Cricetulus griseus: one gene and its partner. The protein of the gene in region 1 interacts with the protein of each later gene in a biochemical or structural test. Links are inferred from orthologs where the notes say so. Each region holds a gene or a part of one and is shown on either strand. Other genes may lie near its edges.

Evidence for each region.
Region 2: of the proteins of H1-5 (region 1) and Ccne1, one has a biochemical effect on the other in vitro, tested with the Homo sapiens proteins (4 studies listed by BioGRID). The link is inferred for Cricetulus griseus from reciprocal best matches to the Homo sapiens genes H1-5 and CCNE1.

What each region holds. Positions count from the first base shown.
Region 1 is NC_048596.1:244,135,923-244,138,680, reverse strand, and holds H1-5 (histone H1.5), read left to right. Parts: upstream 1-1,343; 5' UTR 1,344-1,415; coding exon 1,416-2,084; 3' UTR 2,085-2,145; downstream 2,146-2,758. UniProt on the Homo sapiens protein: Histone H1 protein binds to linker DNA between nucleosomes forming the macromolecular structure known as the chromatin fiber. Histones H1 are necessary for the condensation of nucleosome chains into higher-order structured fibers.
Region 2 is NC_048602.1:242,088-245,890, reverse strand, and holds the end of Ccne1 (G1/S-specific cyclin-E1), read right to left. Parts: intron 3,554-3,803; coding exon 3,407-3,553; intron 2,867-3,406; coding exon 2,771-2,866; intron 2,570-2,770; coding exon 2,435-2,569; intron 2,207-2,434; coding exon 2,095-2,206; intron 1,995-2,094; coding exon 1,837-1,994; intron 1,454-1,836; coding exon 1,331-1,453; 3' UTR 819-1,330; downstream 1-818. UniProt on the Homo sapiens protein: Essential for the control of the cell cycle at the G1/S (start) transition.

The DNA of each region.
Region 1 (2,758 bases):
GGATGTAGTCCTTTTTACATCTTTCTGCACCACAGCCTGTGTTACCTTTCACCATAGTAAGCTTCACCTTCTCTCCTAGAGCAAACTTCACCACCCCCTTTCTCTTTCCATTGCTTTATTTTTCTCAAATTCTTTGAAACTCTAATTGCCAGGCCCTTAATAATATTCTAAAATATTGCCCATCTTGGCATCTCAATATACAAAAAATACCCATATTGGCATTGACTACTTAAGAGCATGCCTGATTGTCCTGCTTGCTAAATGTTCTGAAATTCTCACTGGTCATCTCAACCAACTACATTTGAGGACTGGAGGGTCACTCTAATAATTTCCTGAAAGTTTTAAAATTTTCCTCACGCAAATTATCTTTAGTTAGTATTTTCTGTCTTCAGATACCATTAGCAACTAACAAAAGCAAGTCAGATCCATATCTAATTTATTTTGACTTAGAAGTAAATTGGTTTGCCTCTGAAGGTAGTGACTTCTTTTTAAATATTTGAGTTACTTTTTAAAGCTTTATGTGTATGAGGTTTTGTCTCCATGTGTATATGTGCACCACTTACTTGCCTGATAATCCGGAGAATTGAGAAGAAAGCCTGAGATACTCCGGGGCTGGAGTTACAGACAGTTGCAAGCTGCCCTGTGAGTGCTGGGAAACTAAAGCAGACCTGCAAGAGCAGTAGCTGCTCTTACCTGCCAATCCATTGCCACAACTCTTAAAGTCAATGATTTCTAAACTCCCGACTTCAAAGAAGAAAGTTTCACAATGGAAAAATTTTCAATCTCCATTAAAGATAGCAATGTGCAGAAAGTACGAGAAGCCGGACCTATTTTAAAGAGAAATATCTAAAATGTTTAATTTCAGTCTGCCGCCAGCCAAACCTGTGTTATTTGCTACAGTCAGAAACAAAGTTTGTGACCAAACCAAAAAAGATATTTCTTTTACTCTTGCAAAAATTAAAGGCGGGACTTGTGGACAAATCCTTTTAAGTAATGTTCCTTGCATACTTCGTATACGTTTATGGAAATATGCAAGTAACTATCAGGATGTCCTCTCCTTTGAGGATTCTTCTGAAACACTGGAGGGATTTAAAAAAAAATATCTTTAGTCTGTTGATTGTGATTCAAAAAAAGCACACATAGGTATGTGAACCCGAAGGCTGTTCTCCTTTGGAACACCAAACTGCCAATTTCTGCGCCCTTATTTTCAGTAGTAAGTAAAAATTTGGGGACTAACAAACACAATTTGGGATTCTAACCTTGTTTCGCGCGGCCAAAGGGCGGTGGATTGGACGCTCCACCAATCACAGCGCAGCTCTGGCTTATATAAGCCCGGAGTCGGAGCTAAGGAGCACAGCAAAATTTGCTCTTTGAGTTAGTTTTCCTTTGCTTTTATTGTAGCTTACAATCTCGCCATGTCTGAAACTGCTCCTGCCGAAACTGCTGCTCCGGCTCCTGTGGAGAAGTCTCCCGCAAAGAAGAAGGCGACCAAAAAGGCTGGCGCAACGAAGCGCAAGGCCACCGGTCCCCCGGTGTCCGAGCTCATCACCAAGGCTGTGTCTGCCTCTAAGGAGCGCAGTGGCGTGTCCCTGGCCGCGCTCAAGAAGGCTTTGGCTGCAGGTGGCTACGACGTGGAGAAGAACAACAGCCGCATCAAGCTGGGGCTCAAGAGCCTGGTGAGCAAGGGCACCCTGGTGCAGACCAAGGGCACCGGCGCCTCCGGCTCCTTCAAGCTCAACAAGAAGGCGGCTTCCGGCGAGGCCAAGCCCAAAGCCAAGAAGGCAGGCGCCGCCAAGGCTAAGAAGCCTTCAGGTTCCACCCCGAAAAAGCCTAAGAAGGCTGCGGGGGCCAAGAAGACCGTGAAGAAAACTCCAAAGAAAGCAAAGAAGCCTGCGGCCGCTGGAGTGAAGAAAGTGGCCAAGAGCCCTAAGAAGGCCAAGGCAGCTAAGCCTAAGAAGGCAGCCAAGAGCCCGGCAAAGCCCAAGGCTGTGAAGCCAAAGGCAGCCAAGCCTAAAGTTGCCAAGCCTAAGACAGCTAAGCCTAAAGCTGCTAAGGCGAAGAAGGCTGTTTCTAAAAAGAAGTAGGTTTGCTTCTAATAGCAACCAAGCCCCAAAGGCTCTTTTCAGAGCCACCCAGAGAGCTCGGTGAATGTAGCTGTACACTGACCTAACCCTCTAAGTCCCGCCAACTACCTGAACCATCTGGGTGCCACAGTGGAATTCAGGTAACACTAGCACGGAGTACTCCTGCCCTCACGTACTGCTGAGTAGTTGCCATGTCCACGCGGGCACCCGCCTTTTTCCTCACTGTGCGCGCTCCCCCCCCCCCCCCCGGCTAATCCTCCCACTCCCATCCCGGACTAGTAGGTCTTGTCCTTTGCGCGCGTCTATCTTTACCCTCTGTTCTGTGAACACATTGTTCGTCAGGAATGTAGCTCTCCAGAGTTCACTTAGACTGCAGTTAGCTTTTCATAACTGAAAAATCAACGCGCGGCGCGAAAAGAGGCCGAATTGATTGGCTGTACATAATCGTATTTCCTAACCCAGTTGCATCATGGTTTTGTACCAACCTTGCCTCGATTGGACAGCCAGTCGATGACGTTTGGAGAGTCACTCCACTCAATTGCCGCAACTCATTTACAGCTAGTGTAGAGACTACCCTGCACCCTTCACTTTATCAAGTTGCCTTTTCTTCCTAGTATTAGGGCCCTCGAAGTCAGCTCCTTACCGGAAGGAGTTTTTAAGAAGGCGGTGACGCA
Region 2 (3,803 bases), on another chromosome or scaffold:
TCGAGATCCTCTTGCCTCTGCCTGAGTGCTGGGATTAAAGGCGTGCACCACCACCGCCCTCTGTGGTTCCCAGGGTTTTATGATGGAGCCACAAGGAATTATATTATAGATTCTATTCATTCGGAATTGTTTTTCGTTAGCACAGATGATGGATTTGCTATGACAGTACCACCATTTGGCCAGCTCCACGCAAGGTGTGATGGTATACAGCTGCAATCCTGGCACTAGAGGCTAGGGCAGGAAGGTTGGGGCCAGCAAGGGTTACACAGTGAGACCAGGTATCAAACAAACCACAAAACATAACTGCTTCTTTGTGTAACATAGGGTCTTTTTATGTAGCCCAGGCTGTTTTGATCTCTCTCCTGCCTCAGTATCCTCAGTGCTAGGATTACAAATGTAGGCCACCATGGAGAGATTACATTAATGAAATTCCTGGGGTATGGAATGGCTTCACTAGCAGAGCCTACCCCTGCTGACGACTCTGGTGTGAATAGCACCTAGCCCAGGGTATTGTGGGAGAAGAGTTGCAGAAGTCTAGGCTACACAGCCAGCTCTAGGCCAGCATGGGTTGCACTTTAAGACTGTCTCAAAAATTATGAGGGCAGCCAGGCATTGGTGGAGCACCCCTTTAATCCCAGCACTCGGGAGGCAGGAGGATCTCTGAGTTCGAGACCAGCCTGGTCTATAAGAGAGTGCCAGGACAGTCTCCAAAGTCACAGAGAACCCTGTCTTGGAGAGAGAGAAAAACAAGAAGCCAAGAGAACTGGTAGAGCCATTCTGAAAGGCAACTTCTAGCTTGTTCCAGTAAAGACAGCTGCTTCAAAGATAGTATTCTCTTTATTAAAAATGGATAGACATAGCAGCACTTACAAACCAAGAGTTCATGAAAGGCAGGACATGCTGTCAGCTGACAGTGGAAACGGTCGGCCTGGCCCAGGCTGTGGGCTCGGCATCCCATGCTTGCTCACAACCACCTGTCCCACCCAACACAACAGCAACCCCAAACACCCGGGCAGAGGCCAGCAGCAACCGTGGCCTCCTTAATTTCAAGCTTTTGTCATGTGTGAAGAGTCCAGTGGGTCAAGTAGCACCCTCCTTAGCAGCTTCTGGAGCACTCAGCGGCGTTCTGGAGGTGGCTGGTGTCCTCAACCCTATTGTTAAAACAACTAGCATTCCATACAAGCACTTCTGTCCGAGGCCATTTTGAAGACGCCCGCTGCTCTGGAAGAGATACGCCTTTCCGCAGAGCATCAGCAGGGGCTCCCAACCTCCTAGGCAGCAAAGGAGCTCCAGGCAGCCGCTTCCACAACACTGTCTTTGGCAGGTTTGCTCATTCTGTCTCCTCCTCACTGTTCTGCTTCTTACTGCTGGGTGGGGGTGTCAGGACCCCACTGGGAGGAGGAGAGATCCTGTTCTGTTCTGACAATATGGCTTTCTTTGCCTGGGCTTTGTCCTACATGGAATAAAAGGAATAGTTGTCAATATAAAGCGTTGTTTCACTTGATGGGCACTTTTACTATGGAGGCCAGAGGGAGAAATAACAAAAGTAAAAACTAATCTAAAGTTAGGCATGGTGGCAGACTTGTAAATCCTACCACTTGGGAGCAGAGACCAAAGACTTGAGTTTTAGGTCAGCCTGGACTATCTAGTAAGACCTTGTCCCTACCACCTCAAGTCTAGGGTCTGCAGGTACCCAGACAGAGGACCAGAAACATTCATATGCGACTAGGAGAACTAGCTTTTCCTGGGCTCCCTGGGGCCTGCCTTAAGAAAAGCGAGGTTGTTCGGGCAAGATGGGTTAAGCACTTGTCTGACGGGAGCGAGGGCGTCACTGACCAGCAAATCCAAGCTGTTGGCGTGGGTCTGGATGTTGTGGGCGTTTTCCATGGGAACTCCCCGGAAGTGCTTGAGCTTGGAGCTTCCCACCTCCCGGAAGGCCATGGCGAACGGAACCATCCACTTGACACATTTCTCTATGTCGCACCACTGATACCCTGCCAGTAAAGAGGTTAGTTAGAGGCTCAGTCTGCAGCTCACAGCGGGTCTGTGTGTGTAGACACCTCGTCTGTGAACTCGCAGGAAAAAGCGACATACCTGAAACCTTCTGCATCAGTTCCATGGAGGAGAAATGATACAAGGCAGAAGCAGCAAGGACACCATAAGGAAATTCTAAGCAGCCGACATCCAGGACACACAGATCTAAAAGCTAAGGGAAGACAGGGATGCTTAGACAGATGCCACACAGAGCTTCTAGAAGCCCCTGGTGAGCTGGGGTGTACACGCCTCCCCCCAACACTCTCTCCCTCCCTCCCTCCCTCCCTCCCTCCCTCCCCCCCTCTTTCTCTCTCTCTCCCCCCTCTCCCTCCCTCTCTCTCCCCCCACCCCCCCTCTCTCTCCCTCTCTCTCTCTCTCTCTCAGCACAAAGTCCACCTACCTCAGCAATCTGCACAAAGACCTGCTGTGGGTACTGAGGCAGTAGCACCTCGCTTGTGTCATTGACATAAGCCACTTGGACATACACGTTCAGCCAGGACACAATGGTCATTGGGCTTAAACGCCACTTAAGGGCCTAAGGGGAAAGAGATGAATGGATGATAGTTGTGAAAAGTCCAAAAGATGCAGCCTTAGTCCCCGCCACCACATGCCTAGCTGGAGAAGACCCACTGGGTGCACCCACACCCTGAATGAGAAAGATAGGTGTACACACTTAGTTGAAGTCTCTCTCTTACACACACACAGAGAGAGACAGAGGTATTAATGTGTAACCTGCCTTCATCATCATTAATTCCATCTGGAGAATTTCATCTCCGGAACAAGCGCCATCTGTAACGTAAGCAAACTGGTGCAACTTTGGAGGGTAGATTTCCTAAAAGGGAACAGAAGGAAGATGCTATTAGAGAGAATCCGTTCCTGGCAGTTTGAGTTTAGGACGTGCATCCAAAATGATTCTAGCATGCTGACTGACATGGAAAGAGGATTACTGAAAGGCTTCACACAGGTTCACTTCATTAACCCCAAACACATTATGGGGGGCGGGGTGCTCCACAAATAAATGGACTCATGAATAAACAGAACCTTAAAGTTGTTGCTCACTCTATATAACCATCTAGCCATGCGGGCCTCAAAGTCCCCATTGTTCTACCTCAGCTGTCCAAGTGCTAGGAGTTCAGGTGGGAACCACTATGCCCAAATTTCAATCTTTTCAGTTCCAAGTTCAAATATCAATCTAATCTAAATGGTCTATGCACTTTCTCCTTGTCTTTATTCTTGGCTGGTTCATGTCTGTCCTCCCAACATGTACCTTAACTTTAGAAGCCTCTGAGTTAGGATTCATGATACATATGACCAATAGTTGGCAGAACTGAAGAAATAAGGCTTGTTACATAAATAAGGATAGTGAGTTTACCTCAAGTTTAGAAGCAATAAATAAAGCTGAAATCCCAATGAGCTGTAAAAGTGTTTTCAGTATATTTTGTTGTGATGCCATGTAACGATCAAAGAAGTCTTGCGCCAGATAGAATGTCTCCCTGTGAAGCTTATAGACTTCGCACACCTGGAAGAGGGATCCGTGTTAGAACAGCTTCTTGGGGCACAGCAGAAGCAAACTTCCTGAGGTCTGACATAGTAAGAATGCTGACGGCTTTTCTGACTGGGAATGCTGTGACCCACACAACAGTGAGAGCAAACCAGACAGGCTCAGTCTGCCCCAAGTGGCATTTTCTTAGACCAGTCCCCACCCCTCAAAGTCCACAGTGCTCAAAGGCAACCCCCTTTGCAAGCTTCACTGTGACTCAAAGAAAGAA